Tamandua tetradactyla: one gene and its partner. The protein of the gene in region 2 interacts with the protein of the main gene of each other region in a biochemical or structural test. Links are inferred from orthologs where the notes say so. Each region holds a gene or a part of one and is shown on either strand. Other genes may lie near its edges.

The links. The genes of interacting proteins can lie anywhere in the genome.
Region 1: the proteins of SMAD3 (region 2) and NEDD9 form a complex in vitro, tested with the Homo sapiens proteins (2 studies listed by BioGRID). The link is inferred for Tamandua tetradactyla from reciprocal best matches to the Homo sapiens genes SMAD3 and NEDD9.

What each region holds. Positions count from the first base shown.
Region 1 is NC_135351.1:14,456,212-14,463,396, forward strand, and holds the start of NEDD9 (enhancer of filamentation 1), read right to left. Parts: upstream 3,013-7,185; 5' UTR 2,823-3,012; intron 2,784-2,822; exon of another isoform or gene 2,568-2,783; intron 2,104-2,567; exon of another isoform or gene 943-2,103; intron 1-942. UniProt on the Homo sapiens protein: Scaffolding protein which plays a central coordinating role for tyrosine-kinase-based signaling related to cell adhesion. As a focal adhesion protein, plays a role in embryonic fibroblast migration.
Region 2 is NC_135340.1:84,247,182-84,254,930, forward strand, and holds the start of SMAD3 (mothers against decapentaplegic homolog 3), read left to right. Parts: upstream 1-4,740; 5' UTR 4,741-4,769; coding exon 4,770-4,975; intron 4,976-7,749. UniProt on the Homo sapiens protein: Receptor-regulated SMAD (R-SMAD) that is an intracellular signal transducer and transcriptional modulator activated by TGF-beta (transforming growth factor) and activin type 1 receptor kinases.

The DNA of each region.
Region 1 (7,185 bases), on a different chromosome or scaffold from region 2:
TCCTTTCCATTCCACCACCAAGCCCTGTTGATTTTCCTTTCTAAATGACTTAGTTTGTCCACTTCTGTTCCCACTGCCACCACCCCGGTCTATTTTCTCGTTAGACACTCTTGTTTGGATGACTACATCAAGCTTATACCTGGCTTCCCTGCTTCAGAATTGGTCGCTCCCATTCATCCCTTAAGAATGCCGATCATGTGGAGAAATTGGGACATTTACGCACTGCTGGTGGGAATGTATAATGGTGCAGTCACTGTGGAGGACAGTTTGGCAGTTCCTCAAAAAACCAAATATTGAGTTGCCCTATGACCTGTTAATACCAATACTCAATATATACCCAGAAGAGCTGAAAACAATGTCATAAACCAACACTTGTACACCGATATTCATAGCAGCAGCATTCACAATTGCCAAAAGATGGAAACAACCCAAGCGCACATCAACAGACAAGTGGGTAAACAAAATGTGATATATTCATATGATGGAATAGTATGCAGCCGCAAGGTGAAATGAGGTCCTGAAGCACATGACAACATGGATGAACCCTGAGGACATAGCACTGGGTGAAATAATCCTGACACAAAAGGATAGAGATTGTGTGATTTCACTAATATGAACCCCCTAGAAAATGTAAGCTCAGAGTTTTAAAAAGTAGAATATAGGAAACCTACAGATAGACAGAAGTTAGAGAAAGAGGAAGCAGTTACCTAATATATTCAGACTTGTTAATGAGGTTAAACTTAAATGTGTGGGAATGGATGGAGGTGATGGTAATTCATTAGTGGGATTATAACTGAAGGTGAATATGATTGAAAGGGGTTGTTTAGAGCCATGTGTCCCACTGATTAATACTACAAATAGAAATAAGCTCTTGCATGAAAAAAAAAAGGGAAAGGAATACAGATCAGAGCCCAACAGCCCCACCTTCTCCGCCTCTTTCAGAACACTCTGGCTCTACCGTCTTGCATAGCGTGGTCCAAGCTCACCCAGGATCATCTTGAGCTCACCCAGGATCACCCTATTCTTCAATCTTGCACCTCATGGGCCTTAATTTTGTCAGACTCTTCTGCGATCTCCTACCTCAGGGCTTTGCTTCAGCTGTTTTCTGTGCCTGGAGCACAAGCCCACACCTTGCCTTGTTTAACATCTAGTTTGGATGTGAAGACAAGACTGGAAAAGTCGCCTTTTCCAGTTCTCATCTCTGTGTTCTCTGGAAACCTCCCTGACTCCCCGAGGAGACCACATCCCCCTGCAATACGTCACAGTTTAAAATGATACATTTTTGTAATGATTTATTAATGTCTGTCTCTTCCCTGGACTCTAAGCTTTTGGCAGGCAGGAGCAAAGTTAGGTTTTGTCCCTCTTACATAAGTTTTGACTTAGTGACAGCCGTAGTGCTGACTCTGTTGAAAATTATTAAATAACTCACTGAACTAATTAACAAGAACTGGTGGCACTCTCATTCAAAATTGATTTCATATCCCTCTGTTTCCACTGTTCCACTTTGCCCCATTCTTAGAACAGGAATATCGTTGAAATTAACAAAGCTTGGAGGAAAAAGGAAACAAGGAGGAAAATCACTTAGTGGGTCTCCAGGGCTCTGTCAAGGAGAGTACACCCACTTCTGGGTGGGAAAGAAGCTTCCAGGGCTGGGGGGGCCGGAGAGTGGAAAGGAGGGGCTTCCCGAACAGGGGTTGAACAGACTAGAAGCATTCACTCTCACCTCACCTCTAGCAGAGGGAAAAGATTGCTCACCAGTCTCCACAGAGCTTTAAGCTATATATAGAATGAATTTCCCCTCTTAAAGTAATACACATTATTCATTTTAAAGTAATTTCAGCAAGGGAAAGATGTTGTCTCACATACTTTGTGAAGATCCATAGAGACTAAAGAGACATAAATATGGTGTGGCATCCTGAAACGGGAGAGAGACATTCGTGGAAAAACTGATGAAATCCTAATAAAGTCTGTGGTTGAGGTAATTATCAACGTGAGTTTCTTAGTTTTCACGGTTGTATAGCGTATTAGCATAAGGGAAAGCTGCGTAAAGAGTATATGGGAATCCGCTGCATTATCTTTGCAATTTTTCTGTAAATCTAAAATTATTCCAAAAACAAAGTTTATTCTTTATCTTATAAATATAAAGACTATTACATATAAATTATACAATATTATATATATCCTTTGTGGAAGACAATTGAATGAATGAATGATGAATTAATATAGAGAAAAACAAAAGTGAAGTTGTTGGAGTGGCCCTGTGCGAAGAGGAAGAACATGGGGTCGTTTGTCCCTGCCCCTGACAATCAAGTCTCAGCACAGCTGGGCACACACACAGAGCCCAACCCTCAATCCCCATCTCTTGCTCTTAAGAGTCACCCCGTGAGAGACTGAAAATGATGTCATGACTCTATTTCAGCCTTAAGTGTAAATGACTATTCACACTGTGAAGTCCTGAAATAACTTGGGGAAGAGTAAAGAGCTAAAGCTCATTCATTGCAGGTAAGACCTCTGAGGACAGAAGGAAGAGGGGAGGAGTCACACTTTGAACACCAGGAAGCACCTACCTGGGATGATTAAAAAGTAAAAATTCTGCAAGTTTGCAGCTGCATTGAAAACCACTGCCTCCAAATCGCTTGGAAGTTGAGCTGAAGTCATCCTTTCCTCCTTTGGGGCATGTTGAGTCCCTCTCTGCCCTGATTAGAGGGTGCTAACAGCAAGGAACTCCCCCAGATGTCTGACACCAACTCAGGAAGTAGCAGAGTCTGAGCAAGTTTGCCCTCCCCCAAGCCTGTGGCCACAACGAGTGGCTGAGAACTCACCCTGGAGCTGAACCATAGTTGCTGGACCATTTTGTCTCTGTGGTGTCTTGGTCCTCTCTCTGGGCAGACCGGCGGATGACAGCTCAGCTCTGCTGCACGGTTATGCCTCTCTGCTGCTGCTGCAGCCAGACTTGCTGCTAAAGACAGCTGTTAGCATTTCCCTACTGAACAACCACAAACGGGCGATGTGAGTGGCGAATGCCTGTGTATGCTTTTCCTTCCGGTTGCTGTGAAGTGATGTTGTCTCCGTTTATTTCCTCTCTGTGCCTCTTCTTTATTTTTATCTCTGCCAGAACTTCTGAGTCGCTCAAGTTGTAGAAGCTTTGTAGTTTAGAGGCAGGTAAGAACTCTAGTTCTCATCTGCACCATTTTCCATTTTTAGAATGATCATTGATCTTTGAATTATAGTTGCGATGAAAGTCTGTGGAATCTATTTTCTAGGTGGCATGAACTCTTTTCTAGGCTACACTGAGGCAAAAATGAGACTATTTCCAAGCCAATCGAATTGGGAATTTGTGGTTTTTACAGACTCAATATGTGTCTGGGGCTTCTACTCTAAATTGACATGGAACATTCTTTCATTGGACAAATAAGTTCCTAACTTAACAGATTGTTGTGAGAATTAAATGAATTAATGTATGTCAAGCACGTAAAGGTGCTTGGAACAAACAAGTAAGAATTTGTCTTAGATTGTCAGGCTGCTATGTCAAATACCACACAATGCGTTGGCTTAATGGACATGAATTTATTGGCTCATGGGTTTGGAGACTAGAAGTCAAAATCAAGAACTCAGCACACCATGCTTTCACTTGGAGTCTATAATGGTCTTGTGCTATGTGGTCTCCTTGGGGGTCTTTGGCTTGCATCTCTACCTCCCATCACCTGGCAACCCCCCTTCTGGGTCTCCTCTTGTGGCTTTCTCTGACAGACTGCATCCGAATTCCCCTGCCTTATAAAGCCTCCAGTCATATGGATTAAGTCCCATTCTAAATCAGTTTAGCCTCATCTAAATAGGTCCTTTAAAGATCCTAGGCACAACTGAGTCCATACCTTAACGAATAGTAATATCTTCTAACGTCCTATTCACAAAGGGGTTCAAAGCCACAGGAACACAAGATTGCAACTTGAACACACCCTTTTGGAAGCATGATTCAATCGCCAACCAGCTCTATATGAGTTTGCTATTATGATTACTAGCAAAATATTGTCAGCTCAGACCTTTGCTTTTCCCATCCCTTCCCCATTTCCTACCCCTTGTTGGTGTCTAGGGAGAGTGATTCCAGGGTGTAGATGACCTGAGAGGGTCTTCTACACCACACAGTTGAAAAAGCAGAAGAATTGAGACGCAGAGAACCAGAGACCAGCCAGCTAATGCAAACAGCTTAGCACGTCCATTGCCAGACAAAGGCCCAGAGTCATCAAGAGTGCGTGGACAAGGAGATGGAGAGGAGGAAATAAGCCGAGCAGCGAGCCTTGGACGCATTACCCTCACTCGTGACACCTCCGTCCCACACCCCCCAACTCCCCCCAACTTCACACACCTGAGCCCCGTTACCCAACCTCGGCCAAGCCCCAAGCACCCCTGCTCTCGACCCCCACCCCGTGCATGCGCAGAATTCTGTCCCAGCCCACCCCACCTCTCGCACGCAAGCACACAGTGTTGCCCCACCCCTCCTGAGACCCACGTACCTGTGGTCAGCCCCTGGACCCCCACCTCCCCCCTGCAGGCAGTCAACTGCGCATTCGGGCTGCAGGCGCTCACCTTCAGACCCAGGCCACATCCACACTCAGCCCATCCAGTCATGCAACTCCACCCCAGCCCCCTGAGCTTCGTGCACGCGCACGTCAGCCTCTGGCCCCGCAGATGCATGCAGGCTCGTACTACCACTCAGGCCATGCCTCCTCAGCTCTGGGCAAGTGCTGACCTAAGCATCAGGGCCGCAAGCAGGCATCATCTCATGCCAGTGGCCCTGAGCTCTGCCCACATGCACACCAGTGCCCTGCTCCCCAGACAGGAGCATTTCAGGGCCCTGCCCCCCAGATACACACACCGGCACAGCCAGTTTCTCCCATGCTGGGCACTCACGTGACCCCTGCACCTCACTCCCCTTGCCTCATACATGTGCACAACCTTGCCCCACCCCACATGCCCTTCTCCCACATTTGGCAGGTCCTCTCCAACACATCTGTGCTACATAGCCTCCGCCCTGCACTAGCAAGCACCTGTACCCCACCCCACCTCTGCACCTACACACCCGCACCAGGGACCCCCATCATCACCCACCAAACACACATGTCCCGCAACCTCCAGGACCTGTACCCTGCCCCTACGCACTTGCACATCCACATCCTGGCCCCCCTGGACCTCTCTCTCTGTGCAAGGACACATCTGCATTCCAACCTCCTTGTGCCCCGACTTGTTCCCTGTATCCTACACCTGACACCCATGACCCACATGCTTCACGTGCCTACCTGCATCCTGTCCACTTATCAACCCTCATGCATCCACTCAGACCCCCCCATCTGCCGCCTGCTGTGCCCTACCTCTGTGTCCGCCAAGTTGCGCCCTGCTCCTGCACTCCGAGAACTGCCTGACCTGCACCTCACCCCCACAACCCCTGCAACATATGACCACATCACTGTGACCCACAGCCCATGCTCACAGATACCAGTGTAGAGTCCTGTACCCGTGCATATACCTGCACCGCAACCCATCACCGCACTGTTGTGGCCCTCCCCAAACCCCACATCTTGCTCTGCACCTGTCCTGCAAATACAAAGCTTGAGACTACTAAAAGAAATCAACATCCAAAGTAACCCTATTAAGATATTTACATGCCATGAAGACAACAGAAGATCACTAATCATATGAAGATGCAGACAGAGCCCAGTTTAATGACCAAATTAAAACATGGAGGAGACACAGACTTTGGAACAACTAATCAAAGATGTTCATATAACTTTACTAAATAAAATCAGTGGTATGGTTAATAACATAAAAGAAATCAAGAAGACACTAGAAGATTGTAAAGAGGAATTTGAAAGAATAAATAGAGCAATAGCAAATGTCACAGAGGTTAAAGATACTGTAGACCAAATAAAAAATATACTTAGAGACACACAACAGCAGATTTGAAAAAGCAAAAGAAAGAATAAGTATACTAGAAGACAGGACAACTGATTTTGAATGCGCAAAAGAGAAAATGACAAAAAATCATGGAAAAATTTGAATTGGATCTAAAGGAAATGACAGACAAAATGCAGCACACAAATATAAGAATCATTGGTGTCCCAGAAGGAGAAGAGAAGAGTAGAGGGCTAGGAAGAGTAGTTGAAGATATAATGGGGAAAATCTTCCCAACCTGTATAAAAGATATAAAAATGCAAATCAGAGAAGCCCAATGAACATCAAATAGAATAAATCCAAATAGGCCTTCTACAAAACACATACTTATCAGTCTGTTAAATGTTGAAGAGAAGTAGAAAATCTTGAAAGCAGCAAGAGAAAAACAATCTACTACATACAAGGGAAACCACGTAAGACAGTTGGAACTACTCAACTAGCACTATGGAGGCGAGAAGGCAGTGGTGTGATACATTTAATATCCTGAAAGAGAAAGACTTCCAGCCAAGAATTCTGTACCCACCCAAACTGTTCTTCAAAAGTGAGGCAAAGATTAAAATTTTCACAAACAAATCCTGAAAGAGTATGTCAACAAGAGTCCAGCTCTACAAGAAATACTAAAAGGAGTTCTGCCAGCTGAAAAAAAAAAAAAAAGACAAGAAAGAGAGGTCTGGAGGAGAGCACAGAATTGAAGAGTACCAGTAAGGGTAACCTAAATGATAAAAAGAGAAAGAAGGAAATGAACAAATAGATCTGATAAATAAAATCCAAAGAATAAGATGGTGGATTCAAGAAGTGCTTTTGCAGTAATAACTTTGAATGTTAATGAACTAAACTTACCAATTAAAAGATACAGATTGGTAGAATGGATTAAGAAATATAATCAAGCTATATGTTGCTTACAAGAGACTCGCCTTAGAACTGAGGATACAAATACATTGAAAGTGAAGGAATGGAAAAAGATATTCACACAAGCTGTAACCAAAAGAAAGCAGGGATAGGAATACTAATATCAGACAAAATAGACTTTAAATGTAAAGACATCATAAGAGACAAAAAAAGGGCACTGTATAGAACTAAAAGGGGCAATTAATCAAGAAGAAATAACAATAATGAATGTCCATGCTCTCAATCAAGGAGCTCCAAAGTACATGAGACAGACATTGACAAAACTGAAGGGAGAAAAGCCTGTTTCAAAAGTAAGAGACTCAATACACCACTCTCCTCTATTGACAGACC
Region 2 (7,749 bases):
AACCAAGATCAATTCCCTGGAATCCGTGGCCTGGAGGCTGGCATAGAGCAGACCCACGGGCAGTGCTAGTGTCCTGCCCCTCAGTGCCCTAAGCTTTCAGGTGGGGCAGCACCAAAGCCTATATAAGTGTAGGGGCTGCGAGGGGCAGGCATTTTTAATACCTTCTACTGGTTCCTCTACATACAAGATATCATCATCATTGGCTGTCAACTGCTGGAAGTTAAAGGTTCTGTCTTTTGAACAAACTAGGAAAACTGATATAATGATTGACATGTATTGAGCACTTTTTAGCTTTTTAGTACTGCTGTTTTAAAGCAGAGGGTTAAGTTCATCATACACATCGGTACACAGCGCATCATCATTACAGATGTACGAATTCATTTATTTTCCCCTTTGAACCTCGCCTGCCATTCCCAGATACCCCCCTGCAAACACCTATTGTGTTCAATGTGTATTGTTTTGCTTGTATGCGTTCTTTCAAAATGTATACTGTGCTTTCCTGGGTGTATGTATACATACATACATATATATATATATTTTACGTAAGTAGCACTGTTATTTAATTGTGTCTTATTTATTCCCCTTAGAACAGTTTTTAAGATCCATTCATTTGCTTTGGGTACGCTAAATCCATTGCTTCTAACTTCTGCATTGTATTCCACAACAGGCATCAACCACATCTATGTATATGAGAACCGACGATATGCTTCGTGCCAAGCTCTCTACGTGGGTTATCTCGTGGACTTCTTACAGCAGTCCTCAGAGGTAGGTGTTATTATTGCCATTTTATGGAGGAAGAAACAGAGACATAAAGAGTTAAGAACAAGCCCCAAATCACAGAGCTAGAAGGGACAGAGCTAGAAGTGTATGTAATACACATCTGTTTGGGGCCCTAGGAGAGCTCACAAAGTGCTACAGTGGGCTGTAGAGAGAGGTCAGGCTGCAGACAGAGGCTTTCTTAGGTGAGGTCCTAGCAGCCTGATGAAAGTTCTACTCCTGAGCTGGCTACTCACCTCCATAGAGCAAATCATCTCTCTTCACCAGATGTCACTTTCCATCTGTGTAAAAGGAGGGGCTTGCACTGGAGGAGAGTGATTCTAATGCTCTTTCTAGATTCATAATCTGTTGATAAATACCCTTTGGCTAATGGAAAAAATAATCAGAATCGAAGTCAGTTTTTCTTTCCAGTGTTCCACCTGGGAGCCACTCCAAATACATGAAAACCTTTTGGCACGTCTACTTATGAAGTTCCTCCCTGATAGGACTAACCATTCCCAGGGAAACAGAGTCGCTGCCTCCACCCCCATCCCACCTCTCTTGAACTTTGCACTGACCATGATGAAAAATTAACTGGGCTAATGTTTCTCTTCCAAGGATGACCTTTGCAAAAGCAGGCCTGGCTGGGCCCCTGGAGTCCAGGCGCCAGAACGGAGTTCCCAACCGTCCAGAGCCACCCACCCATCCCCACCAAAAGCAAAGAGAGCACGCAAGGTCCTCTTCATACTAGGGGGAATCAATTCTTAACCCCTGCTCAGCACCAGGTGAAACCGGACTTATTCTCCCAACTCTGAGAACCTGAGGCCAGGGCAGAAAGAACGAGCCCAGAAGCCTCACTTGGACTCACACAGTCCAGGACTGTTTTTCTGCATGCACAGCAGCTGTCCCTGTCATACGGATGCCGGCATGTTGAGGGAGGAAGCACAGGGAAGCATGCACGGTTCAGCCACACTAACTAGCTATCCAGTAGTTTTTTCCTCCTCTCAGGAAAATGAAAAAATGGCTGAACGAGGGCCCCTTCTGATGCTGTGATTTTAGAGGGAGCTCCCAGAAGGGGTAGGTTCATGTCAGGCCCTTCTACCATGTTCAGATCCTCTGCACAGCAAGTACTGTTTGCTCCATTCTTACAGCTCAGAGAACGGACACTCAGTAAAGGGAGAGAGAGAGAGCCAGGATCCAAAACCAGGTTAGTGGATGATGGAGCCTCAGCTCCTTTCACTTTACCTGGCTGCCTCTCAATAGTCAGACCTGTTTGATTTGATGCCAGGTTAAAATGAACATTTTCCTGGGAGATGGTTATTGCAAAGGCCTCCCTTTTGCCCATCCTTGCCAACTAAGGAACTCCTCACTCCTCATGCTTCTCTAGACCATGAGCTCCCTGAAGTTAGGGACCCTTACTTTCATTTCCACATTTCAGAACTGAGTAGAAGGACTGCAACACTGAGGGGCCAAATAAATGCTTATCTTACTGAACTGGACTCCCTCATCCACACCATTCTGAAGGCGTTCGCAAAGGCCCCAAGATGTCAGTTCTACTCCTTTATGACACTTGACCCTTTGCAATTTACATTAGATTCCCACAACCTTCCTAGGAGGTTGAGCGGAAAGCTATTTCTAATCCCATTTTGTAGGTAAGCAAATATTTCTTGCGGTGTCACAACAGTGCACCTGTGTAAAGGACTTTTGTTTTGCAAAGAGCTCTATCAATGATGTCGCTTTCTTCCACCACTCTGCAAGGCAGCTAAAGAATGCGGACTGAGGCCTCACAAAGCCTGGGCTTCAAATCCCAGCTCTGTAGTTTGGAACCCTGTGCAAGCATTGTCATCTCTCTGTGCTTCCAGTTCTGGTTCTGTAAATTGTGAAGATTATTAAATCAGAGGGTAGCTCTTGAGTCACCTGGAATGAAGAAAGCAATCAGTAAAGGCTGATTGCCTTCCTTCTCTTTTTGTATGGGGAAACTGAGGGCTGAGAACGAGGGAGTGGAACCTAAGAGGACAGTGATTGTCACAGGGTTAGCAGGAGGGCCAGCCAGCAATGTGAACCAGGCTGCAAAGCCTCAGTTGGGAGCTCAGGGCTTCTCCAAGCAGGTGGGGAGTAGGGAGGAGGGGGGGCAAGAGTGTAGAGCTCAGGAGCAGCTGCTGACCGGCTTGCGGAACCCGCAGCTCTTGGGCTGACTTTGAGGATTCGGCCACACCTCGCTGGGCTTTGTAACTCCCCACCTGCTTGAGGGTTTGCCGCTAACTTTTTTTTTTCTCACCACGGGGGTTTCCTGCTGTTAAAAACAAACAAAGGCTATGAGCCTGATAGGGGAAGCACAGAAGGAGATAGCCTTGGGGAACCGGGGTAACTCCTGAAAGCAGCTGAGGGGTCTGTGGTCAGAGGCCCCTGAATTCTGCTGGTGAGGAGAAAAACCCCAGGTCTCTCCAATACCTCCGGTATTTCTCTGCTTTCCACTAAGGCTAACTCTGAACACATAAACTTCTGGAGTACTCCCCATTTGCCCCACTTCTTATGACTTCAGGCTTTGGAAACAAAGCTCTTTCACCCTCTATTTATTGGGTGTCGAATTTCAGATCTTTTTTTTTTCTCTATCATAAGAGCTCACAACGACCTGTAATGTGTACTTTTTTTTTTTTTATATCAAAACTAAATTTCAAAGCGCCCCCATTCACTCCTTCATGTACTCGATACATGTCTTTGAAACCCATTTTCTGTCTGGCACTTGGTTCACAGGGTGCAAGGAATCCCTGGCTCCTGATAGAGCCTAGGGAGTCACTGGGTTCCCCAAATCTCCACTTGCAAGAGTCATCTTCTACCCCCCTCAACTACCGCCTCCGCACACAGGCTTAGGGCTCTCACCCGGGGTGACCGAACCCGTGAGTGAATTTTAGAAGTTCCCAGCCTGCCTGCGAGGCCCCCGACCGTGGTCAGCCTGGCTGGCCTAGTGCACGTCCTGACTTCGCCGGCCTCAGCCTTAAGTGCGCCCCCTCTCGGGCCCGGGTCTCCAGGGGTGCATCGCCAGCCCCGGGCCAGACGGCGCTAACTTGAAGCGGGTCTACTCCTCCCCCGGCCGCAACTTCATTTGAGCTTCCCGGGAGAGGGTTCCAAGAGCGGACGCCACGGCCCTCCCGCCTAGGGCCCCCTCTTGTTCCTTTCCCACGACTTCCTACCCGCGCCCGCCCGACCTCGGGTCGGGGCCGCGCGGACTGCCGCGCGCTCCAGCCCCGGGCCGCCGCGGTCCCCGGCCGCCCACGTGGGCCTGCTCGGCGCGGGGCGGGGGCAGGCCGGCAGCCCTCCCCGAGCCAGGGGCGGGCAGGGCGCCCGGGGGAGAAGGCGGCGGGGCGCGGAGAAGGAGGCGGGGAGCCCCAGCGGCGAGGGGGCGGTGACAGCGTTTGGAAAGGAGGCTGCACGCGGATTTGCATGAAACACAGACTGGGAGCGGGCGGGAGCGGGAGCGCGGCGCACGCACCGGGCCGGCCCAGCGAGCGAGCGAGCGAACGAGCGAGCAGGGAGGAGGAGGGAAACTGGGGAGGCGAGGCGCGAGAGACCGAGGGATTTGCGCGTCAGAGCCGGCGAGGAGAGCAAAGTTTGGCTCAGGGGTCGGACTTTTCCTTCCCGGAGGCGGCACCCAAACAGCCACCCCGTGCGGAAACCCAAACTTTTTTCAGCCACTCGAGTCTCCAGGCCGATTCCTCCGCCCGGCGTTCGGGGCCTGCCCGACCCGGCGCCGCTGCCGTCCTCCTGCCCGCCTCCTTCCCCTTCTGCCAGCCGTGGGAGCCGCTTGGGGCGCACGCCGAGTCCCGCCGGCTGCAGCGCCGCGCGGCCCAGCCCGGCGCACCAGAAAGTTCGCCCGGAGTTGAGGAGAAGTTTGGGCGGCCGCGGCCGGCCGGGCAGAGCTCCCCTCTGCGCCCCCGGCGTCCCGCCGCGCCCAGCCCCGCCGGGGGCGCCCCTCGCCGCCCGCGCCCTGACCCCCACCCAGCCTCCCCTCAGCCATGTCGTCCATCCTGCCCTTCACCCCCCCGATCGTGAAGCGCCTGCTGGGCTGGAAGAAGGGCGAGCAGAACGGGCAGGAGGAGAAGTGGTGCGAGAAGGCGGTCAAGAGCCTCGTCAAGAAGCTCAAGAAGACGGGGCAGCTGGACGAGCTGGAGAAGGCCATCACCACGCAGAGCGTCAACACCAAGTGCATCACCATCCCCAGGTGGGGGCTTGGGGGGCCTGGGGGGCGCGCCGGGCCCAGCCCCCTGGCGCGGAGAGGCCGGCTCTGTGGGTTTGGAGAGGCATGGTGTGTGTGTGTGTGTGTGTGTGTGTGTGTGTGTGTGTGTGTGTGTGTGTATGTGTGTGTATGTGTGTGTGGGGGGGGGGAGCGAGAGCGCGGACAGGAGGGGGGTGGGATGGGGGACCCCCAAGCAAAACCCTCTCTGAATTTGCAGTTATTCAGAAATGCTTTCAAACGGCACTCTCGCTTCCAGACTTCACGTGCGCTTTTCGCCGCTCAGAAAGTAGGGGTTGGGGTGGGGGTGGGGCTGCTGGCGTTGACCGCCCCCACCCCGGATTGCTGCGGGCTGGAAGTTGAGGCCCGCTTTGTTCGGCTCGGCGGGCCCGAGCCCCTCCTCCGCCGCCACCGCCGCCGCCTCCCGCCCCGCGGCCCGCGCTCGTGGAGGTGGTGGTGTCTCTCCCTTTCTTCCCCTCAGTCCTGTGCCCCCTCTTCTTTCCTGCTTAACAGGAATGTAGTCCGTACAGCTGGGGCTGTGGGTGAGGAGCGGGAGCCTCGTGATTGACAGATTCCTTCTTCGTTCTCTCTTTGCCTTCGGGATTAGCATTTTTATCGAGTATTTTTAGACTCGGTTGTGCCAGCCTCCCGCCCCCTCCGCAAGCATGCACTTTTAAGTTGCAGTGCAGTGCTCTGACTTTCAAATGGGAGAGACAAGTGGCAGAGAGTAGGGGCTTCCTGTCCTACCCTCTCCCATCCCGGACTGCTTTTGCTCTCCTTTTCAGTCTGAGATTGCGGGGTGAAGCAGAACACAGAGCGGGCTAGAGCCGGTCAGATAACAGAACGCAACCCGAAGTGGGCCTCCATCGGCCCTCGCATTCCTGCAGAGCCCTCCTTCCCAAAGCGCTTTGCCATCTGTTTGGACCTCCTTTATCCCCCGCATCGGGCAAGCTGGGTCGGGCGGGAGCTCACAGATGGCTGATAGAAAGGGGTCAGTGACTTCTCTCCTCTCCCCACGACCTTCCCTTTATCTATGCTAGGCTGGGAATTGGGATGGGGTGCTGGGGGCCACCTTGGCCTCCTGTCTCTCCCTCCCAGACCCCTTTGAAATCTTATTCTGAACCAAGGCCAAGGGAGTGGAGTGCAGAGGAACAAGTTGAGGAGCCCCAGGGCCTGATTCTGGGAGGGATTTTCATCCTTGCTCCTGGGCCTGGAGTGGACTCCATCCTTGGCCACCTGCTTGGGGCAGCTGTGCAGGGGCTGCCAGCCGGGTCAGGCAGGCACAAAGCAACATCTGTCCAAGGGAACCCAGGACAGGCCTCCTTTGGAAATAAATGCCACATATGGTGGGAGTGCTGACTTTAAAAATAATAATTTTTTTAAAAAAACTGGGTGGATCCAGTCAGTAAAGGGGGAGGGAAGGCGGTGTGCTGTCTGGAAGTGCGCTCTGGGTGTGTGATTGGAAGTTAGAATTGACTTCAGAGGAGGTGGTGTGATGTGATGATCAGAGCCACCTGGGTTCTGGCCTCAGCTCTGGTTTTTTAATTCCTCTTTATTCCTCTGATGGGATTAGATATCATCCTTCCCCGACCTAGAGAGGGGTCTGCAAAACCTGCTTTCTCCTTACTTGTGGAGGTACATCAAGGACAAATGCTTTATGGGCTACAGCAGAGAAATGATGTCAGTTGTAACAACAAGCAGCTATATAAAGTGTTTCACAATTTACAAAGCACTTTCACATGGTTTTATGAGGTTCTCGGAGAAAGAACCCTCTGGAAAATAGATAAAGCAGTTATGCTTAAGATTCTCATTTTTAAAGTTGAGAAAACTTTGGAGGAGAAAGGTGAAAAGGTTTGACATAGTGGGCAAAGATATCTGGTGCTCTTTTGCTGCCTTGTACTCTGAAGGTTCTGAATAAATTATTTGCAGAATGCTTAAATCACTGTTATGCGTGTACGTGGGGGGTGGGGGGACTGAAGGGGGGTTGGTGCTTCCTTTAATAAGGGTGCTCGTGTTTAATCTTCGGGCAGGTTGCAGTTTGGAGAAGCAGCCTGGCTTTCTCTTGCCTTGGTGAGAGTTTGTCCTCTGGAGAGGCATAGCTCTGGCCTGCCTTTTCTTTTTCCAAAGCCCTCCAAAGCTGAGCCGTGTCAACACTTGGTAGTTCGGGCTAACCTGCTCCTGAGCTTTTTCCTTCTTAAGGACTGGGGCACCTTTTACCTGCCTGGCAAGGATCTATTGCTAAGGTACTTTTTTATTTTATTTTTTTTTTATTTTTATTGTTTATCCTTTCCCAGTTAGGGAAGCCCAGTTTCTTGGTTGGATCCAGACAGAATGGATTTCCATCCGCGGATTTCATGCCCGCGTCTCTGGGTCACCTTGTTTCCCTTGGCAACAGCTACTGCTGTTTTGGTCGTGGGCAGAAAACTAAAGGCCACGTCTTGGGTAGGTGGCTGGCGGCCTCGTGCTAGTGATACTGGAGTGTCTGCTAAGCCCCTTAGACGGTGGAGCTGCTTGTCAACTTGTCTGCGTTTTTCACGTAGCCTCTTCAAACTCGGGCTTTGGAAAGTAGACAAGGGGAACTGTTTAACCTGGTCATCCCGCTTGTGGGGGCACACTCTGCCATCTGGGCCCGGGGTTGAAGGAGCCCTCAGACCAAGGGGATTATGACAAGCATACTTTGGCTAATGTGTAATCGCGAGCAGCCACAGCGTTTGGCAATTATAGCCGTATGCTAGAGGCTTCCAGAACACATGCTCCTTTCT